7 linked regions of the Oryctolagus cuniculus genome follow. The protein of the gene in region 3 purifies or fractionates together with the protein of the main gene of each other region. This does not show direct contact. Links are inferred from orthologs where the notes say so. Each region holds a gene or a part of one and is shown on either strand. Other genes may lie near its edges. The genes, in order: STAT3, TWIST1, RELA, RNF182, RPS3, DAXX and PRMT5.

Region 1 (4,124 bases), on a different chromosome or scaffold from region 3:
CTCCCCCTCTGTCTCTGTAACTCTGCCTTTTACATAAACAAATAAATAAAAATCCTTAAAAAAAAAAAAAAAGGTAATGACAACCTATGGTGTAGGTACTTTCCTCTTCCTATGTCATAGATGAGGAAACAGATCCAGAGAGGTTCAGGAAGTAGCCTAGGGTCACACCGCCCAGTGGGCAGAGCGGCTGGGAAGTAGACTGAGTCAGGACCTGGCTCTCATCCACCAGGCTGCGCAGTCACCTTGAGGGTATCTTCCAAGCAAGAACATTTGAATACAAAATTACCAAGTCGGAATTATGCTCTCTAGTTAGATCAGGATGCCAAGGCTCAGAGAGGTTAGGGAACTCTCCCAAGGCTGCACAGCTGATCCTGGACCAGAACCTGGATTCAAACTTGGGGTGTCTCACTTCAGTTCCCGGGAGCTTTCACGTGAATGTGACTGCGTCTGTTGCCTGCGGTGATGGCCAAGGGGAGAGAGTGGCTAGGACGCTGCCCAGTATCAGCTTCTACAGCAAAGCTACGGGAAACGAGAGCATGTCCACTCTGGTCAGGAGGAGGCCCCTGGTGGCCTTCACGACCACTGTCCTCTGGTCAGGGGCTGGCAGAAGCCACCTAGGGCGAGCAAGTAGAGATGTGGGGGCAGTGATGAGAAGTGGAGGGGTAACTGAGGAAATACTAGGGTCAAGACAGAAAAGAGGAAGTGTCTTCAGAGACGGAGGGAGGAGAGAATTGATAAAGCTCAGAGGCAGAAGTGGGACACAGAACACTTCCACTTATTCACTACTTACTGAGCAGCTATTATGTGCTCCGCACAAGAGATCACCAAAGAGCCAAGATCCAGTGCAACTAACAGTGTAAGGAGGGAGATAACAAACTCTGTAAACAGATAAATAAAATGAGAGTTGTGATAAGAGTCCAGGAAACTGGACAGAGAGATAGTGATGAACAAGTTGGGACCAACTCTAGGCAGGAGTGGTTAGAGGAAGACTGAGTAAGATGGGAGTGGTGAGGCGGAAGTAGCTGTGCCAAAGCCAGGTGGAGAGAGGGAGCTGGCACATGCCAAGACCAAGGGCTGGGACGTGGCCTGGCTGGAATTCAGTAGGCAGCAGGGAGGGCCTTGCAGGGATGAGATAAAGGAAAACCCCTTCCCCTAAGCTCCCTGGGAAGCCCCGGAGGAACAGAATGGCATGGTGTGAATGCTGCTTAGGCAGTAGGGAATGACACAGCCTTGCCAACAGTGAAGAGGGAGGGCTGTTGATCAGCTGGGGAGAAAGAGAGAGGCTTGCAAGAGGATGCCTGCGGAGCAAGTCCCTGCTCTTCCCGGTGCTGTCAGTGAGAGGAGCCAGGCAGCCCTGTTGCTGAGCCCCGTGAAGGACCCCTTGCCTGTATGTTGTCACCTTTGGTCACCACCATGCCTCACCACCCACCTATCAGCCCAGAGGCCTTCTCTGCCATGCCACGTTTTTGTGTTTTGTTTATTTGAAAGGCAGAGCAACACAAAGACACACACACATAGAGCGATCTTCCGTCTGCTGGTTCACTCCCCAGATGCCAGCAATAGTCGAGGCTGGGTCAGGCCAAGGTCAGGAACCTGGAACTCCATCTGGGTCTCTCATGTGGGTGGCAGAGACCCAAGTGCTTGAGTGACCACCTGCTGCCTCCTCAGGTGCACAGAAGCCATGGAAGCTTCCATGGGAAGCAGAGGCAGGACTTGATCCCAGATGCTACAATACGGGATGTGGGTGTCGCAAGCCACAGCTTAACCTTCAGTGCCCTAAAGCCCACCCCAACCGCGCCTTTTTTTTAATTTTTAATTTGTTTATTTGGAAGGCAGAAATACAGAGAAGGAGGGGGAGAGAGAGAGAGAGAGAGAGATCTTCCATCACCAGTTCATTCCCCAAGTGTCTACAACAGTCAGGTCTGGGCCAGGCTGAAACTGAGAGCCAGGAGCTTCATCCTGGTCTCTCACATGAGTGCAGGGGCCCAAGCACTTGGGCCATCCTCTGCTGCTTTCCCAGGCACATTAGCAGGGAGCGGGATCAGAAGTGGAGCAGCTGGGACTCAAACCTGTGGATGCCGGCACTGCAGGTGGAGGCTTAACCTTCTATGCCACAGCACTGGCCCTGCAGTGTTTAAAAAAAAAAAAAAAAAAAAAAAAAAGGAAAGAAAGGCAGAGTGATGGGGTAGGAACAGAGACCTTCCATCTGCTGGTTACCCCCCAAATGCCTGAAATAGCCAGGACAGGGCCAGCTGAAGCTGGGAGCCAAGTTATTCAACCCAGGTCTCCCAAAGGCTGGCAGGGATCCAGCTGTTTGAGCCATCACCTGCTGCCTCCCAGGGCCTGCATTCGCAGGTTATTAGAATCAGGAGTGCAGCTGAGCGTGGAAGGCGGGCATTCTGATATGGGAGGCACATGTGTTCACTGTGCGGCCAAAGGCCAGCCCCAGGCCTTTTCTTTCTAAGCCTTAGTTTCCACAGTCATAAAATGAGAATTAGAACGCCTATGTCCTTGATCAAATGACAATCTCTGCGTAAAATGCTCAGTACAGTTCCTAGAACATAGTGATTAATAAAGGTTAATTATTTCATTTATAAGGAAGTGGGCTAGTAAATGGATACATTGCAGTTCAAGGTGGGGAAACACCTGCTGACGGCAGCCGAGAGGCAGACTGCCTGGGAGCACCGGGAAAGCCCAGAGGCGGCGATGCTGGAACCGCGCCTTCAAGAATGAGAGAGTTTTCAGCGAGGGAGCGAGGAAATGGAAGAGACATGGTGGGAGGGAAGAAAACCCACAGGGGCTGAAGTGGCGGGTGGTGCTGGCACGCCCTGGGGAAGGTGATCAGGGCAGGGCGGGAGTTCAGGTGGTGTGGGATGAGCCTGGACAAAGGGCTTCAGGTGAGAATACAGGATTTAGGAGTCGAATCGAGAGGACAAGGGGCATCAGCCCAGCTCCTGCCGCATGCCTGGCACTGAGTTAGGAGGTTGGTGCTTTTTTTTGAAGGAACTTGGATTTTTACCCTATGGATCACGGAGAACAGAAGAGATTTTGAGGCAGATGGCGACAGGGCTGAGTATTTATTCATATAACTTTTAGGATGATGCTCCTGGTAGCCAAGGGGAGATCGGGATGGAGTAAGGAGACAGTAGGGAAGCGGCCAGGCTTCGGCTCAAGAGGGAGAAGCTGCAGCGTTCAGCCGGTGGGGATTGGGGTCAGTCGGAGGCTGCAGAGGGTTTTTGTCCCTTTATCAGGCAGGCTCAGAGGTAGATTTCAGGGGAGAACGGTGGCGAGGGCAGTGAGGGGAGTGAACGCTCCTGAGGGGTCAGGGGTCACAGCTTACCAGGATGGAACAAAGCTGTGGCTCTGACCCACCTGGTGCACCTCCGGGTATCGCTGGGATTGGGCCCTCGTTGTCAGCGATGAAGGTGACCTGTTGTGAGAAAGGAGAGGAGAGTGTGTGAGCACCTTCCAAGCAGTAAATCACTGAGCAAATATCAGACCCTCTGCCACCAGGGAGGCCGTGAACTGCAAGGGGCCACACAGCTGGGATGGACTTTAGGGGAGGTGGCCATGGTGAAGATAAAGAGTGATCCATGACCCGTACATGCACTCTGTTTACAAACAGGCAATCCCACACTTCCGGGATCTACAGGACACCCCGAGACAGCTGTCCCAGCACCCCGACACTGACGGTTGCCTTATGGGTTCCCTCACCTCTCACTTGGATTTAAGGGCGCACCAGAAGTCTGAACCTGGAGTCTTGGGGGAACCATGTGAATTGCTGAGTATTTCTGGGGCTGGAATCCGTATTCTCCACCAAACTCTGAGATCCACTCCCCTTCAAAGGTTAAGAGACACTGATTTTTTTTCTCACCAAAAATTAAGAACAGCTATCCTTGGGGAAGACTGAATGAGGCAGGAGGGGGAGATTTTTCATTTAAAAATTTCTGGGAGGGGGGTCTGCCTCTCTTGGAGCCCCCCTCTTGGCTGCTGCATCCGGAGGTTTCTGACTTCAATAAATCTTGTTTTAAAATAAATATTTTGAGGGGCCAGTCCTGAGGCATTGCCGGTAAACCTGCTGCCTTCAGTGCCGGCATCCCGAATGGGAACTGGTTTGAGTCTCA
Region 2 (4,181 bases), on a different chromosome or scaffold from region 3:
CGGGCCGGGGAAGGAGGCTGCTGGCCGAGTGCCGGGTTCTCGCTGGCGAGACGAGCCAGTCAGGGGAGCCCCCTGCGCGGACCTCGCCTCCCGGTACGCAAGCCCGCGCCCCCAAACCCTGCTGGCCCACGCAGACTCCCGCCGCGCCTGTGACCTCTGGTTGGCTTGGCGGCTAACGTTAAAGAGATGTCCACGAAGCGGTTGTTTCGCCCCCAACTCGTTCCAAAAAGAAAGAAACCAACGCAGCAGGGCCAGGATGGGCTTCTCCTCCCCCGCCGCTTCCACTCCCGCCCACGGGTTTGCTGGCTTCCAGGGTGCCAGCCGCTGCCTTCACACCCTCCTTCGGGGGACCCTTCGTTCTGAAGTCTTGGGTGGAAATGCTTCAAATGCAAACGTGTCCGAGTAACTGCAGGGGCGCTGGGACCATCCCCACCCGCTGGACCGCCAAGGAAGGGGGCTGGGGGGCAAGGCCCTCGCAGCGCACGGGCCCCCGTGCCCAGGCTCCGGAGACTCCCCACCTCTTAGAGGCTGACCTCTCGGGGTCACCGTGCGGGAATCCAAGTCCGGGGCAAGGTGGTAATCAAGGGGCCACAGGATCCTCCCCCCTTGGGCGGGCGGCGCTGCGCTGGCTCCCTCCGGCCCTGCTTCCATTCGCCTCGGGCAGGGCGCGCACTTGGGCCCCTTTCAGCACCCTCGCAGGCGCAGTCCGTTAGGCACAGGGCAGTTTGAGGTTGGGACAGTGTGGAGAACGGAAGAGTGCCCCGACGCTGCTCGGGGCCGGGTGCTGGCGCAGGCCCGGGGCGCAGCGCACAGCCTCCAAGGCGCGGCGCGGCCACGTCTCCACAAACGCCCACGACCTCTGAGCCGCGGCCCTGGAGACAGCACCGGGGTCGGCCACCTGGCCGCTGAAGGGGTGGGAGGTGGGGTTCTCCGCGGTTGACAGTTTGCGGGCCGCTCCCCGCCCCCACCCACCGCTACTGAGATTCCCCCCAACAGGCCCCGTGGACCTAGCAGGCGGGCACTGGGGCGAGACGAGGCATCTATCCACTGCGTCGAAGCCGCTGCCTCTGCTGTCACCGCCGCCGTCCGGGCGGAGCTGCCACGGCGGACGGGACGGTCCCCTTGGCCGCTTCCCGGCGCCGCGCTCGGGTGCGGGGCGCGCCACCCGCGCGCTGCGGCGCGGAAGGAAACCGCCCCGCGTCCGCCCGCGAGGCTAGCGGGAGGGAGGCGAGGAGGCGGGCGCAGCGGCCGGCAGCCGGGGCCGGGTCGTTTTTGAATGGTTTGGGAGGACGAATTGTTAGACCCCGAGGAGGAAGAGGAGGAGGAGGTGGTGGAGAGGAGGAGGAGAGGAGGAGGAGGAGGCGGGCGGGGGGCCGGGCCGGGGGTGGGGGCTGGAGAGCGGAAACTTTGCTATGAAACCTGGAAAAGTCCCTCCTCCCCACGTCAGGCCAATGACACTGCTGCCCCCAAACTTTCCGCCCGCACGGAGGTATAAGAGCCTCCAAGCCCGCAGCCTGCGCCCATCTCCCAGACACCTCGCGGGCTCGCCAGCACCGGCCCGCTTTCCAGGAGGCCCGGCCGGGTGTGCGTGCGGCCGCTGGGCGCCGTCTTTTTGGACCTCGGGGCCATCCACACCGTCCCCTCCCCCGCCCGCCTCCTGCCCGCCTCCCCCCCGCGCGCGCCCTTCCCGCGGAGGTCCTCCCGCTCAGCTCCTCGCCGGGCCGCACCGCCCCGGCCGGCGCCGCGCGCTGGGGGAAGCTGGCGGGCTGAAGAGCCCGGCTCTGCTCCTCTGCCCCCGGGGCCCGCGAGGCCGCGCGCCGCCGCCCGAGAGATGATGCAGGACGTGTCCAGCTCGCCAGTCTCGCCGGCCGACGACAGCCTGAGCAACAGCGAGGAGGAGCCGGACCGGCAGCAGCCGCCGAGCGGCAAGCGCGGGGGGCGCAAGCGGCGCAGCAGCCGGCGCAGCGCGGGCGGCGGCGCGGGGCCCGGCGGGGCCGCGGGCGGGGGCGTCGCAGCCGGCGATGAGCCCGGCAGCCCGGCGCAGGGCAAGCGCGGCAAGAAGTCTGCGGGCTGCGGCGGTGGCGGCGGCGGCGGTGGTGGCGGCGCGGGCGGCGGCGGTGGCGGCAGCAGCAGCGGCGGCGGGAGCCCGCAGTCGTACGAGGAGCTGCAGACGCAGCGGGTCATGGCCAATGTGCGGGAGCGCCAGCGCACGCAGTCGCTGAACGAGGCGTTCGCCGCGCTGCGGAAGATCATCCCCACGCTGCCCTCGGACAAGCTGAGCAAGATCCAGACGCTCAAGCTGGCCGCCAGGTACATCGACTTCCTGTACCAGGTCCTGCAGAGCGACGAGCTGGACTCCAAGATGGCAAGCTGCAGCTACGTGGCCCACGAGCGGCTCAGCTACGCCTTCTCGGTCTGGAGGATGGAGGGGGCCTGGTCCATGTCCGCGTCCCACTAGCAGGCGGAGCTCCCCACCCCCTCGGCAGGGCCCGGAGCCCTAGGTAAGGAGCGGCGCCTGTGCGCCCCTTCGCCGCTGCGCGCGCGGCCGACCGCGGCCCCCGGTGCGCCTCGCCGGCCGCCCGGCTAACGCTCCCCTCGCCACCTCCACCCCCCGCCCCGCCCCGCTTCCCGCGCCCGGGCCGGGGAGTGGGTGGGTGGGGGTTGTGCGCGAGCGCGCGCGCGGGGAGACCGCGAAAGCCCGGAGCGTCGCGGGTGAAACTCAGTTCCGCCCGCGCCCCTCTTTCCTCCTTTCGGCTGGAAGATTTCGTTCTCCTCCTTAAAACAAATGTTTCCAGATTCCACCTCCTCCCTCTTTCCGCCCACCCACTTCCTCTCGCCCTGGGGCTGAAATCCTTCCCGGCCGCGCGGCGCGGCGCTCGGCGGCGGTGCGGGCGGCCGTGCGAGCCGGTCGCCAGCCCGCAGCCGCGGGGACCCCCGCCGGTTAATCGACTTTCCTCCCCTGCTCTGGGCTTTTTCAGATGTCCTTGTGTCCAGAGGAGGAGAGAATGGACAGTCTAGAGACTCTGGAGCTGGATAACTAAATAATAAATATCTATGCCAAAGATTGTCTTGGAGATTAGAAGAGCAGAACCCAAATTCAAAGACACAGGGCGTGGGGCGCACTTTTAAGAGAGAAAGCGAGACAGGCCCGTGGACAGTGATGGCCAGATGCGCAGCGGCACCATCCTCTACATTCTGATAGAAGTCTGAACAGTTGTTTGTGTTCCTTTGTGTTTCTGTTTTGTTTTTGTTTTTTGGGGCTTTTTTTTTTTGACGAAGAATGTTTTTATTTTTATTTTTTTCATGCATGCATTCTCAAGAGGTCGTGCCAATCAGCCACTGAAAGGAAAGGCATCATCACGGACTTTTCTCTATTTTAAAATGGTAACGATCAGAGGAATTTTAAGAACACCTTTAGAAATAAAAAAAAAAAAAAATACTGGGATCAAACTGGCCTGCAGAAACCATAGTCAGTTAATTCCGTTTTTCGTTCTTCCTCTGAGGGAAAAAAAAAAAAACTTAAAATACAAAAAACAACATTCTATTTATTTATTGATGACCCATGGTAAAAATGCAAATAGATCCGGTGTCTAAATGCATTCCTATTTTTATGATTGTTTTGTAAATATCTTTGTATATTATTTTTCTGCAATAAATAAATATGATTGAAAATTTTAAGAACCTTAGAGTTTGCTCTATATTTTTAAAGCTCAGGAGTAAGTTGGTGGTGAATACCTGCTTGTTTAACTATGGAGGCACCCAGGAGGCACCAAGCACTAAGATAAACAAAGCAGTGAAAAACTCAAATAAACCAGCTACTGACAGGCACAGGCGTGGTATTTAAAAAGACAGCTTTATTATTACTCCAGTTTGCTGTTCGGCGGGCTCAGTAGCATCTCTTCATCCCTTGTCAAGTCCCAAATATCAAAACTTCCACCAACTGGCTCTTCCTATCTTGTATTCGGGGTGGTAACCGGCTAACATAGACAAGCAAGCATGGAGCCAGCAGGATTTTCTCCTGTTCCTGTGTATTTTGGTCCTGGCCTCCACTCATTGTGAGGATTGGTAAATAATAGGATAAAATGATGGGCTGATGATCCTACCACATTAATGGATACAAGTGCACGCACCAGAGCAGAGTTTAATTCAGGAAAGAGTTTATGTCCCTCCTGTTTGACGAA
Region 3 (4,275 bases):
CAGCCGGGACTCAAACCAGCGCCCATATAGGATGCCGGCCTTAATACCTTTTTAAACGTGATATGTTGTGGGCCAGCACTGTAGCATAGCGGGTAAGGCCGCCGGTTCGAGTCCCGGCTGCTCCACTTCCGGTCCAGCTCTCTGCTGTGGCCTGGGAGGGCAGTGGAGGATGGTCCAGGTCCTTGGGCCCCTGCACCCGCATGGGAGACCTATCTCTCTCTGCTTTTCAAACAAATAAATCTTAAAAAACAAACAAACAAAAAACAATGTTGCTTGCATCGTGCACACCCCATTGCGGAGTCGCGGCTGGGCTCCCCCTTCCCGCTTCCTGCTAAGGCAGACCCTGGCGGGCAGCCGGGGCAGCAGCCAAGACTCGGGGTCCCTGCCGCTCGGGCGGCGCCCGTCTGAGACCCCCGCCCGAGACCCCCGCCCCTGGCCTCAGCTGGCGCAGCTCCCCGGCTGCTGGCCGGCGTCTGGGCCGTGATGCAGGGGCGGGAGGCCGCTCTGCCTTTCAAGGAAATAAAACGCTGATTATTCGGAGTGGACGGCGCACGCGCAGCCCCCGCGGCCGGGAAGCGGACTGCGCCGGAGACACCGGCGGGTGGGCGGGGTGCTCGCTCTCTTTCACTTTTCTCTTCCTGTTTTTTCAGAGCCTGGGAAAGCAAGTCAGAATTTCCAATCTTTTCCAATTCCCACATGGTTTCCTAATTTAGTGCGAGTTCGGAGAAGATACACACACACACAAAGTCTCCCCCGCACCCCGCTTTGGGGAAGCCGCGCGCAGCCTCACCCCAGGAGAGGGTCTGTGCCAGCCCCAGGCCCGCCCCCCGCCCGCAGGGCCGCGGCGGGAGGCCCCGGGCACTCTCGCGGGGGGCGGGACCCTGCGGGTTCGGGCGGCCCCTGGGGGTCCCGGGCGTGGGCAGGCGAGCGCGCCAGGGTGCAGAGAGGAGGCTGCGGGGCCGATCCGGGCGCCTCCCGCACTCGTCTCCGATGGGCCGCCCGCGGGCCGGGGCTGGCGCGGCCGAGGGCCCGGCTCGCCCGCTGCGGGCAGTGGCCGGCGGGGACGTCGGGCGCGCCCCGCACCCCGCGCGCCCCCCGCGCCGAGACGCGTGCGGGGTGAAGCCGCCGGCTCTCCGCGCGCGGGGCGGGCGGCCGCCGCCCAGCCGCTCTGGCCGCGCTCCAGCCCGGCCCGGGTGACATCACCAAGCTCCTCCGACCCGCGGGAGGGGGCCCCCGAAATCCCCTAAAAACAAAGTGAGTAATCGGCAGGCCCGCCCTCCAGGCGGGGCTGGGACGCGGGGGCGAGCGGAGCCGCCCCGGGAGCCGCCTCCGGGCGGGCGGGCGGGTGAGCGTCGGTGTCCGGAGCGGCCGGCGTCTGCCCCCGGCCCCCGCGGGCTCGCCCCGGCGCGGCGCGCACCTGCCCGGACCCCCGCGCGGGGCGGCGGCGGCGGCGGCGGCACAGGCACAGCGCGCAGGCGCGGCCGGGTTCCGGGCAGTGACGCGGCGACGGGCGCGCGCGGCGCATTTCCGCCTCTGGCGAATGGCTCCCCTGTAGCGCGCGCCGCGGGCCCAGCTGCGACCCCGGCCCCGCCCCCGGGACCCCGGCCATGGACGGTGAGGGCGCCCCGGGAGCCGGCGGGGAGGCCGCGCCGGGGCCGCGGGGGCTGTGGCGGGACCCCCGGGCCGCCTTCCGCCGCTTCCTGCGCCGCGGGCGCTGCTGCGCCAGGGAGCGGTCCGGCCGGCCGGTGGCGCGGGGCGGGGCGGGCGGCGGGGGTCTGACTCAGTTTCCCCTCCGCGTGGAGGGGGCCTTGACCGGGGGCCCTCCCGGGGTGGGGGTGCGGGGTGAGCTTTGAGGCGAGTCCGTCGCATGGCCTCTGGGGCAGCCCTGATGGAGTTGTTATGGGAGAGGGTGTGAGTCAGTTTCCTCTCGGGTGGGGGCTGGGGGGTGGGGGGCGCCCTCCCACAGCTCCTCCGAGGACAGTGGGCCGGGCCCTGACTCGGGTTCCCTCAGCACAGCCGGGGGTCCAGACCCCGTTTGCCCTTAGGAAACAGGTGTTTCTGGCTCCTGTACCCCCCACGGAGCAGGTCCTGACTCAGTTTCCCTGGGGCGGGGGGTGGAGGGGACCTGGGCTTGTGCTGACCCTTACCTCCTCCCCTTTCAGACCTGTTCCCCCTCATCTTCCCCTCGGGTAAGTGGGCCGGCCCTGCTCGGTGGCGGGGAGGGGCTCCGGGGGCTGGGGGGCTGGGGGCAGCCCCTGATGGGACCCCCGGCCCCCGCAGAGCCAGCCCAGGCCTCGGGCCCCTTCGTGGAGATCATCGAGCAGCCCAAGCAGCGGGGCATGCGCTTCCGCTACAAGTGCGAGGGCCGCTCGGCGGGCAGCATCCCCGGCGAGCGGAGCACGGACACCACCAAGACCCACCCCACCATCAAGGTCAGTCCTGCTCCCCCTGTGGCGGGCCGGGCGCGGGGGAGGGGCCGCCGAGCCGGCCCTGCCCCCAGCACGCGCTGTACTTTGCACAGATCAATGGCTACACGGGACCCGGGACGGTGCGCATCTCCCTGGTCACCAAGGACCCCCCTCACCGGCCTCACCCGCACGAGCTGGTCGGCAAAGACTGCCGGGACGGCTTCTACGAGGCCGAGCTCTGCCCGGACCGCTGCATCCACAGGTGAGCGCCCGGGGCCGCGCTGGGCGGACTGCTCTCTCCTGCGCTCCTCCTTTCTGGGAGTGGGACTCCTGGGGGACGGGCTGGGGCCCTGACCCTGTGGCTGCCAGCGAACCTGCGGTTCCCCCGAGCGCGCACCCGCGGACAGGCTGTAGGTCGTGCAGATAAACGGTGCACGTGGTGTCAGCCGTGACTTCCAGGCTGGGAGAGAGCCCGGCCGAGGGAGGGGTGCTGGTCTCGTGGCCTGGGGGCGGGAGGCCCGGGGTGGCCTCTGTCAGCTAGGCCTTGAATGGTGAGGCTGATCGGAGAAGCCCGGAAGCATCCCGGGGCGAAGGGAGAGGTGCCGAGGTCAGGGCCTGAGGGCGGGAGGCCGTCGACAGGAGCGGTGGTGTTGCAGCGCAGGGGAGCCGCTGCAGCCGCTGCAGCCAGGACCGGGGCGGATGGGGAGGTGCAGACGGGGCACCGCGGGAGGGTCCGCGCTCTGACGGGGAGGGGCTCAGCTTCCAGAACCTGGGGATCCAGTGTGTGAAGAAGCGCGACCTGGAGCAGGCCATCAGTCAGCGCATCCAGACGAACAACAACCCCTTCCAAGGTGAGGCCCCCCAGCTGCCCGCCCCGCCCCCGCCCCCGCCCCCAGCTGCCCGCCCCGCCCCCAGCCTCCGCCCCCGCCCCCAGCCTCCGCCCCAGCCCCAGGCCTCCGCCCCCGCCCCCAGCCCCCGTCCCCCCCAGCTGCCGCCCCGCCCCCCCAGCCTCCGCCCCCACCCGGCCCCCACCCCAGGCCTCCTGGCCAAGACGCCGCAGCCGGACACCACGTCCCGGCAGGGGACAGGACTGCGGGGTCCCAGTGCAGGCCTTTGTCCGGCGCTGTGGCACCCTTCGCCAGCCCCCAGGCCAGAGCGGCCGGCCCTCCCCGCCCCGTGTGACACCTGCCCGTCCGCCCGTCCGTTGTGACAGTGCCCATAGAAGAGCAGCGTGGGGACTACGACCTGAACGCCGTGAGGCTCTGCTTCCAGGTGACAGTGCGGGACCCAGCAGGCAGGCCCCTACGCCTGCAGCCTGTCCTCTCCCATCCCATCTTTGACAACCGTGAGTGGCTCGGGGGTCACGGGCAGGGGCCGGGGTGGGCCTGGGCGGCAGGAAGGCTGGTGGGCTGGGCTGCGGCGAGCTTCTGCCCGTCGTCCGGCATCCGTGTGTCATCTCCCGTGCCCAGCCCTGCTGGCTGCAGACAGGCAGGGACAGACCCAGAGCCGTCCTTGCTCTAGAGGGTGTGGCTTCGGGGCTGGCGGGGGTCTGATAGGAAGTGGGCGTTTTCCGGATCACGTGGCGAGAGAGTGGCATGCCCCCACCTACACCACGGACTGTGGGAAGTGGACATTACGAGAGCGAGGTGTCCTGGGCGGTGACGATTCCCTGATGACAGCCCGGGAAGCTTGCAGAGGGACTGGGCGGCATCATCAGTTGCAGTTTTTAATTAAATAATGAGCAGGATGAATAAAAATAGAGCAGCGCGGGAACCCTGGGGGCAGGAAGCAGGGTCAGGAGGGACGGGCGCGTGGCCAAGGTGGGTACGATGGGGCCCGGGAGACTGCCCGGGTCAGCGTGGCTCGC
Region 4 (4,218 bases), on a different chromosome or scaffold from region 3:
CTGAGCTGCACTCTGCCCCTCTGGAAGGGTAACGCAGGCCAGGGGCCCATTGGTGTCCAGACTACAACCACAACACACGGTCTTGCACACAACCCTAACCCTTCCAGCAACACACAGGTGCCCAGCGCTTGGAACCGTGAACCTGAGCAGCTCATTCACTGTTTCTGGGCCCTCACTGCCAGCGCCCCCCCCCCCCCAAACTGTGATGGGATTCAGTTAACCAAGTCCTCATTGACTTTAAAACGTGATGGGGGAAAAAAAAAAGACAAAATACTCCCGAACTCAGAGCTGCTAATGTAAATGGAACCTCATCTGGGGTGAGGAGCGGGCTTACTCAGCAATGTGGTTCCAAAAGAAAAAAACTAAACCAAACTGTTCAAGGAAATGCTCGAAGAAGAGTTCCATGAACAAAAACTGTTCTATGGGAACTTCGTTCTGCTCACTTCTTGTGAGAAGTCAGAGGAAGAGGAAAAACCAACATGGAAGCAGCCGTGTGTCTCCAAGACAAGCGGCCATCTGTGCAGTACAGTGGACGGTGAGGCCAGTTCCTTGGTGCTCTTCCCTCTCTTTAGCAATGTGGAAAAACAGGTACTCAGCTGAAACCACCCCAGGGAACAGGCTGAGTTTCCTGTTGGCACGGGAGGGAACAGGTGTCTCCACGAGAGACGCAGAGCCCACACACAGCAACAGGGGCCCAGAAAACACTTGAAGCTGCCTCAAGGGGGCTCTCCCAGCAGGAGCACGGAGCAGCTTTCCTCTCCTGTGCACCTGCCATAGGAGACAAGCGCCCCCCCCCCCCGCCCCGGGTGAAATGAGGCATGGACCCATCCCTAACGTCTCCCACAGCACGGCTCCCCACCCCACGTCTGTCTGGAAACACTGCCCTTGCTCTAGGCTGCTCTGCATTGTTTTGCCTCTCTGCTAACCCCTGCATACAAGTGAACATTTTTACCCCCAGCATACAGGAAAGGCAATCAAGCCAACATTCTGATGGGACACAGACCACCAACATGGGCTCCAGGGCTTTGTCAAAGGTCCTGGGGCACAAAACGTAAAGAACGGAAGAGAGACTAAATCATGAACTCCCTAGCTTCAAACTCAGCAGCATGTGTCAAGTTTCTGGATCTTGCATATCAGTTAAGAAGGAGGTGCCATGCAGTCTAGAAATTCATGGCACACGCACTGGCAGAAGCCATACACCATGAGAATGACCAGGCTCGAAGGGACCAGGCTGACAAAGACCACTCCCAGAGTGACTTTCTTGGACACCAGTAGGTAGATCCCCAGAGGCAGGGAGCTGAAGTACAGTAAGCCCAGCAGCCACACCAGCACCCGGATGCATGTCTGGAATAGCAGTGATGTGCAGTTCCACACAGTCCAGTTGTGCGACACAGTGGTGACAGAGTCGAAACTCGCGGGCCTGTAGAACTCCACCACGGGCGTGGAGCTCAGGGACGGGGAGCTCTCTCTCTGCACCTCCATGATGGTTATGACCAGGCAGTTGGAGGACGTGTGCGAGGGGCTGACCAGAGAGGCCAGCCTCTTGGGCGTCAGCAGCAGCTCAGTGGAGTTCTCTGGCAGGCACTTCTTCCCTCTGCCTCCACAAGTCAAGTTCACAAGGATGTTATTGTCGTCTGGCAGGCTGCTCACTTCATCATCCGGCAGGCAGGTCTCAAACCTGCAGAAGGGGCAGACGATGACCCCTTGTGGGGAGTCCCCGAAGTCGATGATCTTGTAGAGGCATTTGGCACAGACCCTGTGACAGCAGCCCAGCACTTTGGGTTTCCTCTGTTTGAGATTGTAGCGGTTGTAACAGATCTTGCACTCCAGCTCGTCCGACACCTGAGACTCCGCAGTGTCCTCGGGCGGCTGGCTGGCCATCTCGGATCCCGGATGCAAACCCCCTAGATGCCTCTGCTTGAGGAACGCCTTCGGTTAAGGGGTCCCTCTGAACAGCCTATCATGTGAATCAGGCAGAGAGGCAGGAAGGCTCAGGAAATGGGGAGAGGAGCCAGAAATCACTGGGCATTTCAGCTTCTTGCGTAGAACTCTCTGTCTCAAATGCAGATTTTAACTGGGCACATGGAGGGTCTGCAAAGAAAACAAAGAGATTCTAATAGAGTGAGCAGGTCTCGGAAAAGGTGTTCCTGAAAAGACTTTCATGGGATTTCCCGAGCTTCACGGATTCAAAGCAATGACAGACAGCAAAGGCTAAATCCCCTCCATCTTTTCACACATTGCCGTCCCCTGGTCGGGAGGGTGTGCTCTGTGGGCTTGGCCGTTTCACTGCACAAGCATGCTGGTGACAAAAGAAGTGAGAGTCCTAATGGGTGCAAGTGCACGGCAGGGCACCTGCTTCAGAGCTGGGGACTTCAGTGCACTGTCTGGATGTGGGAGATGTTCACTCTGCAAGTTGTAATCGACCCTGGCCTCTCTGGAAGAGAACGGGACATGCATCAGAAATAACAGACTGAGTCACAGCACTGCTGGTGTACCAGTTGTCCAAATGCCCTCGACACTGCTTAAGGGCACAAAAAAGAAAGACATCTCAGGACTGGCATGGTGGAGTCTGTGATGTCAGCATCCCATATGGGTGCTGGTTTAAGTTCGGGCTGCTCCACTTCCAATTCACCTGCCAATTAGTGTGTCTGGGAAAGCAGGGGAAGATGGCCCAAGTGCTTGGGGCCCTGCCACCCATGTGGGAGACCCAGAGGAGCTCCTGGGTTCCTGGCTTTAGCCTGGCCCAGCCCTGGTCATTGCAGCCCTTTGGGAAGTGAAACAGCAGATGGAAGACCTGTCTCACTGTCTCTCTCTCTCTCTCTCTTACTGACTTTGAAATAAATAAATACATCTTTTTTAAAAAAAAAAAAAAAGAAAGAAATCTCAAGGGAAAATGCTAACAATGTGTTTTCTGAGGGTGCTTGGATAGAGGTGAGAGGCTATTTAAGCAAAGCAGGCTGCTCTCACCTTCTCAGTGTAAACACATCAATTACACAAATGACTTTACTGTTTTGACTTCAACTTCAAATTCTTGGTTTCAATACCAGTCTTGTAAACATAGTTGTACATAGTCATTTACTCAAGGAAGAAAGAAGTATATAACACCCAAATAAGCATTATTAGGAAGTCAAGTCTAATTCCTACAAAAGAAAAATAAACACAGACAACAGAAGCACAGTTCTATCCTCAGACAGGCATGGCTACCAAGAAATACACATCACCTCCTCACCTACTCTATGAGTATTTCTTTTTGCTTCAAGATTTATTTATTTATACTTACTTATTTGGAAGGCAGAGTGAGAGAGAGACAGAGACAGAGACTATCTGCTAGTTCATCCCCCAAAAGGTTGGAAGAGTTAGGGCTGGAACAGGCTGAAGTCAGGAGCCTGGGACTCCATCCAGGGCTCTACATGGGCAGCAGGAACCTGAGTACTTGGGTCATCCTCCCCTGCTTTCCCAGGTGCATTAGCACGGAGCTGGACAGGCAGTGGAGCAACAATCAGGATTCCGAGCAGTGCTCCAGCATGGGATGCTGGCACTGCACGAGGCTAGGTTAACCTACTACACCACAATGCTGGCTCCTCTATGAGTATTTCATGTAAGCTCTCTTCCTATAGCAAACACAAAGCACAATACAATTGACAGTCCTCTTACTATTAGCAGTATTATCTTACTGGCTTTGGACAAATGGTGGAAGGTTGGACTTCACATGCACACTCAGTTCTCAATTAACAGTACTAACGGAAGGGAGCAGCAATATGGGGACGCTCCAAATCACTCACTTAGCTTTAATAAACATGATATTTTTGGTAGCAGATTTGTCTTAAGTTATGCTTTGCTTTAAAAAAATACCAAAATGTATTTGAATTTCTGAGCACACCCTAAGCAGAAGGCTGTCACAACAGCTCTGAGAAACAGAAAGCAACTGTGCTGGAATTTAAATTTGCTATGGATCATGCTGCATTAGCAGACATGAGGCAGTGAGGAGCTAAACTTGGGCAGTTTTAAAAATCACGAGTAGCTGACTTGTCAATACAGAGTAGCTTCCTTTTTATTTATGACTTTAATTTTTAAATTAACTGCCTATTCTATACAATGTACAATGGAAATCCGTGGCAAGACATATAGTTGGTGGCAAAAGGAAGTCAATCAATGGAATCTCTGGAGATGAGCCAAAAAAAAAAAAAATAGGTAAGATTTTTAAAAACAGAGTTTATC
Region 5 (4,243 bases), about 60 Mb from region 3:
TTCTGCTGCTTCTTCCCGGCAATCAGCAGGGAGCTGGATTGGAAGTGCAGCAGCCAGAACACCAACTGGCACCCGTGTGGCGGCTTTACCCGCTATGCCACAATGCCAGCCCCTTCCTACGCGGGGAAGGAGGTGGGGAAGGATGGCCAGGAACATGCGGGACACAGGGAGGAGTGGGAGGGAGCAGCTCTTGCCAGTATCATTTGTATGGTCAAGGGGTGAGGCGGGGCGGGGGGACTCCTGCGAGTGGGGTTCAAGCTCTGACGCAGATCAGAGTGGACACTGGGAGGAGGAGAGGCCCACGGGGATGAGGGCGCAAAGCAGGTCATCTAGAAGGACAGGAGCCTGACTGCAGTGGGCCCCGGGGACTTTCCTCTGACCCTGCACTCACGGGCGGGTGCCCTGCTGCTTGCCCATGTCCCTAGAGAAGTCAGGCGGGGGGACTGACCAGGGCCGCGTTCAGCAGACCATGGAGCCGATGAGGAAGAACCCTGCTCTCCAGCTCCTTGTCTCAGTGAGGGCTGTCACGAGGCGGCCACCGTGGAAGCCAGAAACCAGGCACCACCTCAATTTCCCCCCTCAACCTCAATCCATCATTAAGACATGTCGGGGTCCCAGCTGTGTCTTTGGTTCATCCTCTTTTTCTTTATGAGTGTGTTTGTCTCTCAGAGAGAGAGAGAGAGACAGACAGACAGACACTGAGAGGGCTCCTATCCACCAGTTCATTCTCCAAATGCCTGGGCCTGCCAAAGCCAGGAGCTGGGGACTCAATCCGGCTCTCCCAGGTGGGTGGACGGAACCAGTCATTGGAACCATGGCTGCTGCCTCCCAGAGTCTTCATCAGCAGGAACCTGGAGCCAGGTATCAAATCGAGCCACTCCCATGTGGGATGTGTACGACTTAGGGTCTAGGCTAAAATGCCTGCCCCCATCCACTTCTTTTCCCTTCCCTGGCCCTCTGCTTAGCTCCCACGGAACTCCACTTTATTATAATCTCATGATGAAAGGACCAGTCATTTGCATCAGAGTTATTTTAGTGCCGAAGTTAAATGTAGAATTGTGCGCACGTGAGCCAGAACCCTGAGTCTGCTATAGGTTGTAACAGCTTTTATGCAAGTGGTGCATAAAGAGCACAGAATAGTTCCTAGGACGTTAACACGTAGTAGGTATTATCATTGGGAAGGGAGGAAATGGACAGAGACTGGGGAGAATGGGAGCTCTCGTAGATACTCGTTAGTATCGACCTGAAAGTGTGGGAACCAGGGTTCCACGCTGCCTAAACTCTTGCTGAAACTCTGAGCCTCTCCGTCCTTTTCAAAACTAGAGAAAGGGACTCTAAGTCCCCTTGCAGTTCCTGTTTCTTACTACAGGTAACTCCTTCGCTCTTCTCGCTCCTTTGCGGCCTTTTTGCATTAAAACTACATTTCCCATGAGCGCCCGCAGGCGTCGACGTCGCGCCGCTTTTCGACGTCGCGCCGAGCCGTTTATACCCATTTCCGTCCGCGAGCCACTTCCTTTCCTTTCGGCTGCGCGCGGCGGCAAGATGGCGGTGCAGATTTCTAAGAAGAGGAAGGTGAGCATCTGGAGCTGGGATCTAGGGAACTGCGGTGCTGCGCGGGTCGGGGACTTCTCGGGTCGCCTCCGCGAGACGCCGAGCTCCATTCCCGTCCTTGGGCAGTGGCATAGAGTGCGTGGTGTGGCCGCGGGCCGCGGATGGCGGCGGATTGAATGCGAGGCCCGAGGCGGGCGGCCGCTGGGTGGCCGGCTGGAAAGAGTGCAGCGGTGAGCCTGGGGCGCCCCACCTGTTCCGGGGAGCCTGTCTTGGTCAACAAATCTAGTGACTGTGTAGTAGTTTGAGGGGCGTGAGCCGTTTCTCTCGCTTCTTGACCCATGGCTTTGGGAAGGGCAGAGAGCAGCGTCGTCTTGCCCGCCGTACGGGTGCCTGGGTGCCGCCTTCCGACAGTACAGGTCTCACTTGTCCCGTTGGGGCAGGAAGCTCCCTCGGGTTTAACTTCGAAGTCATGTCGTGTCAAAATCGCTAGCTTTAGGCATCCATAGTTTGCCATTCTGCGTGTGTACATCGTTGTTAAAATTCCGCAGCAGCTAGGGTTGGCAGCTCCGCTGTCTGTAAGCCCACAGGTACACAAGGTAAGGCAGGGTGCCTGGCTGGGTGCAGGTGAGACCGCTCTGACCCACGCCTGCTCCTGTGACAAGGTAGAACAGTGTGCCTGCTGCGCGAAGTGGAGGATCTGAGGCCCTTCGGTGAAGAGGTGATGACGAGTCTGACCGGGGGTGCTGGCTCTCCCCGGGGGTCTTCCGCCGTGCTGCGTTCTGTGGCACCCTGGAAAGGGCCCTGGTGGAAGCAACAGCCCCAAGATGACCAAGAGGCATTTGTCTGAGAAGGGTTGCAGCATCCCTGTTGGCACAGGTACTGAGTTCTGATGAAGGATGTCTTGGCGTCTGATAGACTAGACTGGTCCAGAGGGAAGTGAGCCAGCCCCTCCTTTAATTCTGAACTTGCTTTTTTGGTTAGTTTGTTGCTGACGGCATCTTCAAAGCTGAGCTGAACGAGTTTCTCACCCGGGAGCTGGCTGAAGATGGCTACTCTGGAGTTGAGGTCCGAGTTACACCAACCAGGACAGAAATCATTATTTTAGCCACCAGGTAAAGTATCACTTGACTGGAGGGTAGTGATCTCTAGTTGTATACACTAAGGAAATCACTCTGTATAAATTTTAAGGGTACGGTCAAGTGAATTTGGCGTTAGTGAATGTGATTGTTTAAAGCGGCATTTTAAAAATTGAACAATAATTTCTGTCATGTAGAATTTGTATTTGTGTTGTGGCAGATAAGTGGGGCTTTAGTACCATGCATAATAGGCACAATTCACAGTTCATGTAGGATCTTGGGCGCGTCATCAGTGGTCTCTTTCTTGCCCAGGACACAGAATGTGCTCGGTGAGAAAGGCCGGCGAATCCGGGAACTGACTGCCGTCGTTCAGAAGAGGTTTGGCTTCCCAGAGGGCAGCGTAGAGGTGAGTGGTCTGGCTCATGCCAGAGGTTAAGTGGACGTCAATGGCTCTTTAGAGTGGTGCTTCTGAAATCCCTTATTCACCATGGAGACCTGCTCAGGCTCAGTGAGTGTTATGGTGGGATTGGCATTGGTTGAGGTTCTCAGTGGGCAGTGGGTTTGGTTTTACAGCCCTGTGTGCTCATTTCTGGTGGATGATGATGTTACACACCACCTGAATGTGCAGGTGACACAAAGTGGATGCACTGTGCCATTGGTCTCCCTGGTGTAGCTGTAGGAGGAGCCAGAGGTGGGGCAGTGAGGCTTGGTCTGCTTGTGTCTGTCCTGGGTGTGGGCAGGAGTGCTTTTGGACTTGAGGGATACTATTGTGATAAAATGTAAAAGGTTTATGGAAGAATGGAATTAAGAGATACTTATTTTAATGCCCCTCCAAAATTTGAAATCTGGCTTTTTTCATGATTCTTGTTCCTGAGCTCTTTGAAGACTTGGTCATACGTACATTGCACTGAAATAAACTTAGCTTTGAGTTCCGTTTTCCACAAACCCTTTGAGGTACCCTCCTGTGATGGTGTGGGGAAAGAAATGAGTGTGCTGACTTTGAATTGAAAACAAGGGTGAAGGTAACAGGGTGTGCTTTGCTTCCTTTAAAGCTTTACGCTGAAAAGGTGGCCACGAGGGGCCTATGTGCCATTGCCCAGGCAGAGTCTCTGCGTTACAAACTCCTAGGAGGGCTTGCTGTACGCAGGTAAGTGTCGTGCCGCCTGGTGGTCATGCCCTTCTGTGTGCATCAGAATGTGGTGTGTGCTCTTTGCTGGTTTCACAAATGAACTTGTGTTGAGTGACAGCTTCTGCTAGCCTCTGAGGGTTCCAGCAACACAGTACTGTTAATCCATGCCTTTGCTGGCTGCAGGCTAAGAAGACTGAAGAAGAAAAATGAGAAAAGGTGGACAGGTGTTCTAGGTGCTTGGGAAGAGAGCAGAAACAGGTGCTCAGGGAGGGGACCAATTCTCCTTGGTCTCTGGATGAGATTTAAGTGTCTTCTGGGAGGTGGGCAAGTCAGCCTGTTACTGGTAATTTGTGGGGTGCCCCGAAAGTCAGAACAAGATAGAAGACACTTGATCGGTTGAGATTTTCACTCTTATTGGCACCATAAACGCGAAAGCAGTCCTGATGAGAGAGCTTAAAATCCAGATACTTAATGTGGTGGGCTATGC
Region 6 (4,157 bases), on a different chromosome or scaffold from region 3:
CCTGCGGCGCCGGCATCCCATATGGGCGCCGGGTTCTAGTCCCGGTTGCTCCTCTTCCAGTACAGCTCTCTGCTGTGGCCCGGGAAGGCAGTGGAGGATGGCCCAAGTGCCTGGGCCCTGCACCCGCATGGGAGACCAGGAGGAAGCACCTGGCTCCTGGCTTCGGATCGGCACAGCGCCAGCCGTAGTGGCCATTTGGGGGGTGAACCAACGTAAGGAAGACCTTTCTCTCTGTCTCTAACTCTACCTGTCAAATAAAAAACATTTTTTTAAATAAAAAAGTCTTTCTTGCGATTTTGACTCTTTGTTAAAAATATTTATCGTTACAATTATGAAAAACGAATTTATCAAGCAGCACAAAGATTGTGCAAATTTTTGCATTACGAATTTTTAATAAGCTAGAAGATTGTGTTCATGGTGCATCGCTGAAATAGACCACGTGTCTTTTGACTTCAGCCAGGTAAGAGACCCAGGCAACTTCACGGCTGTGAATTATTATAAGATGGAGAAAGTCCATTGTGAAGGGGAAGGAAGAGGGAGAACCTCTACCGCAGGCGCTCGCTCTGGGAGCCCAATTTTGGGAAAGCTGAGGATCTGAAACTTAAATCCTCTTTGTCAAGACCCAGTGGTCTTGGCGAGTTTTGTTGCTCAATTTGAAGGCTGTAGGCCTGGACGACTGGCGAGAAGTGACAGGGATTCTCAAAGGAAGCGTCAGGGATGCAAGGCCGCGGGCCTGAGGCAGGAGGCCACCACCCGCGCGTGGGCTTCGCGCTGTCCCCGCAAGCGCGCCTCGGGACGCGGCCCGGCCTCCCCCACGCGAGGCGTCTCCTCCGGCTCCTTCCTCACTCTGTCCTCGGCTCTCCCTGAGGAGCAGGAGACCACCGCGTCTCCCCGCACGCGCGGGGGCCATCGCCCAGCTGCTCCCCCCAGCCCCCGGACCCCACGACAGAGCCTCGAGGGGCCGATGCCGCCGCAGCGTCCAGGCCCCACTCGGAGAACAGCGCAGCGCCGCTCGGGTCCCGCCGGCTTGGACGCTGATTAGTTCTGAGGCGGAGCTCGGAAAGCCAGTCAACAACAACGTAGCGATAGTAATACCACCACCACCACCTTCAGGGAGCGCGGTGCTCGTTTGTACGCATGCGTCGACATTTCCCGGCCGGGGACGTAGCACCTGGAAGTGGAAGCGGCGGCCGGGCAGCGGCGAGGGGCGCAAAGCCCATTAAGCGGTGGAAACCGGTACCTGGGAGATAGGAAAGCAGGACCGGAAGCCTCACTAATTGCCCAGCGGAAGGAAAAGGTTTTATTTCCCCGTTTAGACACGCCTGCCCTTTCCTGAAGCCATGCACAGCCTTGGCGACCCCAGTTCTTCAGCCAGCCTATTCCACTGCCCCCCTCCCACCCCTGGGAAAGGTGGCTCAGTGGTCTCGGCACGCGACTAGCTGGCGGTTGGGCTCGAGGCAGGAAGTTTCTGATTGGCGGAGTCCCAGAAGCACCAGGTGAAAATAGCTCCGCCGGCTGAGGGCCCAAGTCACTGCAGAGCTGGGGCCGTACAACAAAATGGCGGCCCCCAGCAACTTCGGGACGCCCTGAAGGGGCAGGCCCCGCCCCCTACAGGTCAGGGGGAAGGGAGTCGCGGGCTAGGTGGGCGGTACTAGGCACGCTCGGTGGGGCCTTCCGGAAGCAGGAAGGCTGGGCTCCGTACGACAATATGGCCGCGCTTATACGCGTGTAGGCGGAAACTCCGCGGCTTCCGGTCTGTAGTGGGGCCTGCGGTGGGAGGGGGAAGGAAGGCGGAGGGAACCATGCGAGGTTCTGAGATCAGCGGCGAGGGTCGTCTCGTGAGACCGTTTCTGAGGTGCGGGCCGGACTGTGTGGGGAGCGAAAACGGGGGAGGGGATATCGAGGAGGCGGTACTGGGGAGACGCGGGCTCTGAGTCTGAGAGGCATGCTCTGGTACCTTATTCCTGAAGGGAAGTGGGGCGGCTAGGGGTCTGACCTGGGGGAGGGGGACTTGGCGGGAAGCTCATCTACCCTGCCGGCGCGACTCAAGGGTGGGATCCGAGAAGAATCGGGAGAGCCCACTGTAGGTCTCACGATCGGTTACAAGTCACAGAGAGCGACCAGGTAAAATCAGGGTGGGGTGAGAGGGAGGGCTCTTGAGGTGTCATACTCCAACCCAGTGCCCTGGTTTGAAGAAGCCCATCAGAGGGTGAAATACGGAGTTAATAGCAGGAGGGGAAAGGAGAATGGATCGTTGAGAGGACTGTTGGATTGTCTAGGAGTTGGGGTGATCATTAAGGGTGGGGTATGGGTTTGACATGTTTCGGGGTGAAAGGGGCCAGACGTGAGGCAGCCAGAGCGAGTGTGTTTTCCGTGTGTGAGGGTGTCATGGGAATCTGGGAAGCGGGACTGGGGTTGGAAGAACCAACTTGACAACTATGAGAAATAGTGGGGAGATGGAACAGAAAGACCGGAAGCCAATGTGAGAGGTAGAGCTGGGTGTGGCGATTGAATGTTTGCGGTTCCCTGTCCTGGGCCACTTGAAGGGCCCGGGAAGGCATCCAGAGCTAATGGTTGCAGAAGACAGGCAGTGAGGACACTGTTGGGCAGGGCTGGGTGTTGCTGAAACCCACGGAGATTGGAAACTGAGCTGAAGGGAGGGGCTATGCTGGAGGGGCTCTTTCTGAGGCCCCATCCCCTTCCAGCAGGAATTCTGAAACCCCCAACACTTCCTCCCTCCGGGGGATTTGATCCCTCATGGCCACCGCTAACAGCATCATTGTGCTGGATGATGATGACGAAGATGAAGCAGTCGCTCAGCCAGGGCCCTCCCACCCACCCCCCACTCCGGCCTCACCCCAGGCAGAAGCCCCTGGCTCCTCTGAGCCCCATGGGGCCGGAGGAAGCAGTAGTTCTGGCGGCAAGAAATGCTACAAGTTGGAGAATGAGAAGCTGTTTGAAGAGGTGAGCTTTAGGGGAGAAGATTCTTATACCCCAGGGAGGGGGATGGCGCACTGGCTCTCTGGTCCTCTCTCCCCCACTAACTGCACCCCCCCTTCTCTCTCTCAACCCCCTCCCTTGTCTCTTGTCCGCTCTCTTCTTCCCCCGAACCCTCCAGTTCCTTGAACTGTGTAAGACGCAGACAGCGGACCACCCTGAGGTGGTCCCGTTCCTCTCCAGTCGGCAGCAGCGTGCCCACTCTGTGTTTTTGGCCTCAGCCGAGTTCTGCAACATCCTCTCTCGGGTCCTGTCCCGGGCCCGGAGCCGGCCCGCCAAGCTCTACGTCTACATCAACGAGCTCTGCACCGTTCTCAAGGCCCACTCAGCCAAGAAGAAGCTGAACTTCGCTCCTGCTGCCACCGCCTCCAGTGAGCCCTCTGGGAGTAATACTTCTGCAGACCCGGCCTCGGAGCCCGGCAATGCTGAGGCCGCTGTCTCCGAGGCCCCAAGGACCCGTGGCTCCCGCCGGCAGATCCAGCGCCTAGAGCAGCTGCTGGCACTGTACGTGGCGGAGATCCGGAGGCTGCAGGAGAAGGAGCTGGATCTGTCAGAACTGGATGACCCAGACTCCACGTACCTGCAGGAGTCGCGCTTGAAGCGGAAGCTGATCCGCCTCTTTGGGCGACTGTGCGAGCTGAAAGACTGCTCTTCGCTGACCGGCCGGGTCATAGAGCAGCGCATCCCCTACCGCGGCACCCGCTACCCAGAGGTCAACAGGCGCATCGAGCGGCTCATCAACAAGCCAGGCCCCGACACCTTCCCCGACTACGGTGATGTGCTGCGGGCCGTAGAGAAGGCAGCTGTCCGGCACAGCCTCGGCCTCCCGCGCCAGCAGCTCCAGCTCATGGCCCAGGACGCCTTCCGAGATGTGGGCGTCAGGCTACAGGAGCGACGCCATCTCGACCTCATCTACAACTTCGGCTGCCACCTCACGGATGACTACAGGCCAGGTAGCGGGTTAGCGGGGTGCCCGTCGGAGGCAGAGGGGACCGCTCGCCCTCTCTGCCAGGGTGTGGGCTGAGTGCTCTGCTGTCATATCTTCCCATGTAGGCATTGACCCTGCACTGTCAGATCCTGCCTTGGCCCGGCGCCTTCGGGAAAACCGGACCTTGGCCTTGAGCCGCCTAGACGAGGTCATCTCCAAATACGCAATGATG
Region 7 (4,242 bases), on a different chromosome or scaffold from region 3:
AGGATAGTATGTGCCCTTGATGAAATGAGGAAATGATATTCGGCCTCCATGACCTCCCCAAACCCATAACATCAGATTCCAGTAGAGGAGCATTGTATAGTCTATCTGGCCAATACCATCAAACTATCAAGATCATCAGAGACAAGAAACAGCTGAGAAACTGCTACAGCCAAGAGGAATCTAGAGAGATGTGACAATTAAATGTAATATGGGATCCAGAAGTACACAAAAAGTCTGGTAATAATAACAATAATAATAGAAGACACAGCATCTCCAACCCCTTCAGGCTTCATGGTGCATTTTCTTGGCGCTTTGCTTTTCTGACTCTCATCCGTTGGGGGCACTTAAGTCGCACCCAGGACTCGTGGGGCTCATCCCCTCCTGCTCCCTTTCCGGGTTTCCCAGGCCTCTGATCCGCACCGGCTACGGTCAGCTCATCACTCTCAGGGCTTCGTTAGCTACCGTTCTTCCGGCGGGCTCCAGATCCTATTCGGTTCAGACCACGGTTCACCCAGCTCTGTTACACAGCGCCCCCTAGACATCCACTTCAGCACGTCCAGACCCAAACCCCGATTCTCTACGAACCGCAAGGACTGACAGAACCCTGGGCTATCACCCGCCTAACAAGCGGACCCCAAATTCTGTTAACGCCCCCTGCGTAGGGTTCTCGTGCTGCGATCACCTCTCCAGCCCTCAGTGCTGAACCTGTGGGCTCCCTGCCTTCAGGGGTCTCCATTTCCCTCTCTCCGTCTTTCCTTGCTTCATTCCTTTCTTTTTTCCCGTCTCTCTCCTGTAAAGGGAAAATGCATTTCCATGATTCCCGTCCACTGCAATCTCTCACTAAGAATTGGTTTTCTCTACCTCGAGGGGCTGTGAGTGTGCGCTTAGGTGTTGATTTACACCTTTTTGTGTTTGAGACACAAGCACTATTAAACACTGTCAGTTATCACAATCTATTTAAAAAGGTTAACATAGTAAGGGGACAAATCTTGTTTAAACAGAACCCCAGCCATTAACCCAGTTTAGTTGGGTCTAAGCAATGACACAAGGAACACATTTGAAAGAGGTGACGGAAAAGGTTAAGTAAAGATGGCTGTAGGACCCAAGTAACTTGGGACCTGAAAAGTGAGAGGGTGGAAAGAAGTAAAGCTTTCAACAGTGAAGGAAGGAAAACGGAAACCACAATTTCTGGGGAAGGTGATGCAATAAAGGAGTACCAGTCCCAACGAGCCAGCCAGGAGTCGAACCTGGAATCTTCTGATCCGTAGTCAGACGCGTTATCCATTGCGCCACTGGCCCTGAGACAATCGCGCTGGGCTCTGTAATGATTCTTCAAGCTTACAATGCAGGGTTTCATGGGACGTGTAGTCCCTCGGCGGCATTCGGCGGCTGCACAAAGCATTCTGGGAGATTCGGGTTCGTCACGAACCAGACCCTGAGATTGGTAGATCTGCAGGAGCCACGCCGTACGTCACGGTGCAGCCCGCGGATTGGCGGGAAGAGTCACTCTCCACCCCTCCGTCTCTTGCTCCGGAGCTGTGGAGGACGCTCTGGTTGTTAAGGCGACTCGTCCCGCCTTCTCGGGGCCTGGTTCAGCGTGTGATTGGTTGCTAATATCAAGGAATCCCGGCGTGGAGAGCGCGAGGGAAAGATGGCGGCGATGGCGGTCGGGGCTGCCGGTGGGAGCCGCGTGTCCAGCGGGAGGGACCTCAATTGCGTCCCCGAAATAGCTGACACACTGGGGGCTGTGGCCAAGCAGGGGTGAGGGCCAGACCTTCGCGGGCGGAATGCAGGGTCCGAACTCGAGGACGGAAAAGGGCAGGCTAGTCATCCCCGAGAGGCAGGGGTGAAGGGGCCGGATGGGACGAGGGCGTGAGAAACCCCATTACTCCTGAGAGGAGCAGCTTCGGCCCGGCGGGTGGAAAGTTAGGGGAGTCGTGTGGCCTCTTAGTCCAGAAGTCGGGGGAGTTGTCGGGGATACAAAAAGGGGGCATACAGCCAATCCCCTAGGGCTCCGGGGGTAAAATGAGTATGCGGGAGTAGGGGGAAGTGTTGGGGGCAAAGGCGAGAGGAGGTTCATGTGCAGGGAGGGTAGGTGTAGGTAGCCCTGGGGCAGCTCTGAACATCACAGTCCTGGAAAGCCAGTGACCCCAGAGTAGAGAGAATGCTACTTGGCGTGGATTTCCGTCGTTTTCCCTTACTCATCTTTTCCCTGCCTGTGTTTTGGGGGAGAAATTGAGGCACGGTGCAGGGAAGTGGTATGTCCCAGGATGGGCTGCAACCAGGAGCCAGCGCGGTGACTGGTGGCATCTGAAAGGGCTGTGCGCAGTTGAGGTAGCCTAAGTGCAGTGCTTGGCTCTCTTTACATGATGATTCTGGGTCTGTCGCGGTTGTAGGTTTGATTTCCTCTGCATGCCTGTCTTCCACCCGCGGTTCAAGAGGGAGTTCACTCAGGAACCTGCTAAGAATCGGCCGGGCCCCCAGACACGATCAGACCTACTGCTGTCAGGAAGGGGTAGGGACCATCCCATATGCCCCTTAATTGTTAGCAGCAGTAACAACCTCTGCTTTATCAGAGCCCTCGTTCTCCTCCTTTTCTGACTTGGATATATTGGATAGCCCCTGGGATCTAGGGAATTCTCGTTTTCTCCTTGCTTATTTGCTAAAAGCCTTAGTTGCCTATTCTGCATCAGACTATCCCATGTCTGTGGTGGAAAATGCCTTTGTCTCTCATCTCTATTTTCTGTTCCCTACCAAGAACTAGAAATTGAACCAGTACAGTACTGAACCTCATTCAGTTTTTGTCTTTCCCGGGTGGGGGAGTGCAGACTGGAATACGCTAATTGTGGGAAAGCTCTCTCCATGGATCCGTCCAGACTCGAGAGTGGAGAAGATCCGCAGGAACTCGGAGGCGGTAAGACAGTGTTTGACCTCTCCTGGAGCGTTCTAAAGATGACCTCTGTACCCGAGCTGGGTGGGAGAGCGTTTTTCCCTTCCATCAGTTACAAAATCAACTAACAGAATGCAATGAAAGCTATTTGGAGGTTAGCTCTTAACATTTTCCTCCCGTTCTCCATTCCAGGCCATGTTACAGGAGCTGAATTTTGGGGCGTATCTGGGTCTTCCGGCTTTCCTGCTGCCCCTTAATCAGGAAGATAACACAAACCTGGCCAGAGTTTTGACCAACCACATCCACACTGGCCACCACTCCTCCATGGTATGGTCGAGGGTCTCTTTTTCCCACTGCATATCATGGTAGTCAGGCTCTGTGCGGGAGCTTCTTGGGCCTGCCAGTCAGTGAAGCGGGAATTTGGCAGAATGGAAATTATTGCTCACTCCCCTGCTAACAGACAGTTTCACAATATCTCATTATTTCTTGAAACTTTACAATTGAAACACAAGGCAGATTTTTTTTTTAAGGGAGGTAGAGTTACAGAGAGAAATATCTTCCATCTGCTGGTTCACTCTCCAAATGGCCGCAGCTAGGCTGATCCAAAGCCAAGAGCCAGGAGCTTCTTCCAGGTCTCTCAAGCACTCGGGCCCTCTTCTACTGCTTTCCCAGGCCATAGCAGAGAGCTGGGTCGGAAGAGGAATGGCTGGGACTAGAATCTGTGCCCATATGGAATGCCAGCACCTTAGACAGAGGCTTAGCCAGCTACAGCACATTGTTGGCCCCACAAGGCAGATATTTGCTTAAGGATATATACAGGATACATGTACAAAATCACAAATTGGGAAAACCATCTAAAGGGGTTAATTTGAGATCTGGATCAAGGTCTTTTTAATTGTGAGATGGTTATTGGACCCAATGAGTTCAAGAGCGAGTTCTAAAAGGGCACCTGTTGATGTGCAGTTCTGGATGCGTGTGCCCTTGGTGGCACCGGAGGACCTGAGAGATGATATAATTGAGAATGCACCAGCTCCACACTCAGAGGAGTACAGTGGGGAGGAGAAGACGTGGATGTGGTATGTCTCCTTTTGCTACTACTCCAGAGCAAGGGGCAGGGTGAAGGGAAGTACGGGTAGAGCCTGTCGGGAAGTCTCCTTGAGCTGTGGTGATTGGTGGGCCACACATATGTGTGTTTTTCTGTATCCAACTCTGGGCAGGTGGCACAACTTCCGAACTTTGTGTGACTATAGCAAGAGGATTGCAGTAGGTGAGTCTACAAGGGTCCTGGGATAAGTGTCCTTCCTGTGGCGTCTGTGCACAGCACTCAGCAGTTTTGTCCATAGTGAGCAAGC

Evidence for each region.
Region 1: the proteins of RELA (region 3) and STAT3 purify together in Homo sapiens (affinity purification with western blotting; 5 studies listed by BioGRID and IntAct, with this or other methods). This does not show direct contact. The link is inferred for Oryctolagus cuniculus from reciprocal best matches to the Homo sapiens genes RELA and STAT3.
Region 2: the proteins of RELA (region 3) and TWIST1 purify together in Homo sapiens (affinity purification with western blotting; 3 studies listed by BioGRID and IntAct, with this or other methods). This does not show direct contact. The link is inferred for Oryctolagus cuniculus from reciprocal best matches to the Homo sapiens genes RELA and TWIST1.
Region 4: the proteins of RELA (region 3) and RNF182 purify together in Homo sapiens (affinity purification with western blotting; 3 studies listed by BioGRID). This does not show direct contact. The link is inferred for Oryctolagus cuniculus from reciprocal best matches to the Homo sapiens genes RELA and RNF182.
Region 5: the proteins of RELA (region 3) and RPS3 purify together in Homo sapiens (co-immunoprecipitation; 5 studies listed by BioGRID and IntAct, with this or other methods). This does not show direct contact. The link is inferred for Oryctolagus cuniculus from reciprocal best matches to the Homo sapiens genes RELA and RPS3.
Region 6: the proteins of RELA (region 3) and DAXX purify together in Homo sapiens (affinity purification with western blotting; 4 studies listed by BioGRID and IntAct, with this or other methods). This does not show direct contact. The link is inferred for Oryctolagus cuniculus from reciprocal best matches to the Homo sapiens genes RELA and DAXX.
Region 7: the proteins of RELA (region 3) and PRMT5 purify together in Homo sapiens (affinity purification with western blotting; 3 studies listed by BioGRID). This does not show direct contact. The link is inferred for Oryctolagus cuniculus from reciprocal best matches to the Homo sapiens genes RELA and PRMT5.

Annotation. Positions count from the first base shown.
Region 1 is NC_091448.1:20,437,440-20,441,563, forward strand, and holds the start of STAT3 (signal transducer and activator of transcription 3), read left to right. Parts: upstream 1-1,324; 5' UTR 1,325-1,369; intron 1,370-1,990; exon of another isoform or gene 1,991-2,125; intron 2,126-3,052; exon of another isoform or gene 3,053-3,223; intron 3,224-3,372; exon of another isoform or gene 3,373-3,430; intron 3,431-3,721; exon of another isoform or gene 3,722-3,838; intron 3,839-4,124. UniProt on the Homo sapiens protein: Signal transducer and transcription activator that mediates cellular responses to interleukins, KITLG/SCF, LEP and other growth factors. Once activated, recruits coactivators, such as NCOA1 or MED1, to the promoter region of the target gene.
Region 2 is NC_091447.1:11,241,645-11,245,825, reverse strand, and holds TWIST1 (twist-related protein 1), read left to right. Parts: upstream 1-1,488; 5' UTR 1,489-1,831; coding exon 1,832-2,458; 3' UTR 2,459-2,501; intron 2,502-2,978; 3' UTR 2,979-3,681; downstream 3,682-4,181. UniProt on the Homo sapiens protein: Acts as a transcriptional regulator. Inhibits myogenesis by sequestrating E proteins, inhibiting trans-activation by MEF2, and inhibiting DNA-binding by MYOD1 through physical interaction. This interaction probably involves the basic domains of both proteins.
Region 3 is NC_091432.1:6,038,161-6,042,435, forward strand, and holds the start of RELA (transcription factor p65), read left to right. Parts: upstream 1-1,475; 5' UTR 1,476-1,607; coding exon 1,608-1,614; intron 1,615-2,162; coding exon 2,163-2,189; intron 2,190-2,280; coding exon 2,281-2,432; intron 2,433-2,521; coding exon 2,522-2,670; intron 2,671-3,167; coding exon 3,168-3,259; intron 3,260-3,621; coding exon 3,622-3,753; intron 3,754-4,275. UniProt on the Homo sapiens protein: NF-kappa-B is a pleiotropic transcription factor present in almost all cell types and is the endpoint of a series of signal transduction events that are initiated by a vast array of stimuli related to many biological processes such as inflammation, immunity, differentiation, cell growth, tumorigenesis and apoptosis.
Region 4 is NC_091436.1:156,663,347-156,667,564, forward strand, and holds the start of RNF182 (E3 ubiquitin-protein ligase RNF182), read right to left. Parts: upstream 2,801-4,218; 5' UTR 1,882-2,800; coding exon 1,138-1,881; 3' UTR 1-1,137. UniProt on the Homo sapiens protein: E3 ubiquitin-protein ligase that mediates the ubiquitination of ATP6V0C and targets it to degradation via the ubiquitin-proteasome pathway.
Region 5 is NC_091432.1:66,517,396-66,521,638, forward strand, and holds the start of RPS3 (small ribosomal subunit protein uS3), read left to right. Parts: upstream 1-1,443; 5' UTR 1,444-1,542; coding exon 1,543-1,572; intron 1,573-2,256; exon of another isoform or gene 2,257-2,403; intron 2,404-2,532; coding exon 2,533-2,663; intron 2,664-2,939; coding exon 2,940-3,033; intron 3,034-3,679; coding exon 3,680-3,774; intron 3,775-4,243. UniProt on the Homo sapiens protein: Component of the small ribosomal subunit. The ribosome is a large ribonucleoprotein complex responsible for the synthesis of proteins in the cell. Has endonuclease activity and plays a role in repair of damaged DNA.
Region 6 is NC_091436.1:135,803,001-135,807,157, forward strand, and holds the start of DAXX (death domain-associated protein 6), read left to right. Parts: upstream 1-1,357; 5' UTR 1,358-1,496; exon of another isoform or gene 1,497-1,614; intron 1,615-1,721; exon of another isoform or gene 1,722-1,855; intron 1,856-1,987; exon of another isoform or gene 1,988-2,124; intron 2,125-2,705; 5' UTR 2,706-2,757; coding exon 2,758-2,964; intron 2,965-3,118; coding exon 3,119-3,950; intron 3,951-4,050; coding exon 4,051-4,157. UniProt on the Homo sapiens protein: Transcription corepressor known to repress transcriptional potential of several sumoylated transcription factors. Down-regulates basal and activated transcription.
Region 7 is NC_091443.1:52,081,908-52,086,149, forward strand, and holds the start of PRMT5 (protein arginine N-methyltransferase 5), read left to right. Parts: upstream 1-1,442; 5' UTR 1,443-1,651; coding exon 1,652-1,761; intron 1,762-1,787; coding exon of another isoform or gene 1,788-1,846; intron 1,847-2,396; coding exon 2,397-2,515; intron 2,516-2,828; coding exon 2,829-2,914; intron 2,915-3,082; coding exon 3,083-3,217; intron 3,218-3,853; coding exon 3,854-3,966; intron 3,967-4,107; coding exon 4,108-4,157; intron 4,158-4,242. UniProt on the Homo sapiens protein: Arginine methyltransferase that can both catalyze the formation of omega-N monomethylarginine (MMA) and symmetrical dimethylarginine (sDMA), with a preference for the formation of MMA.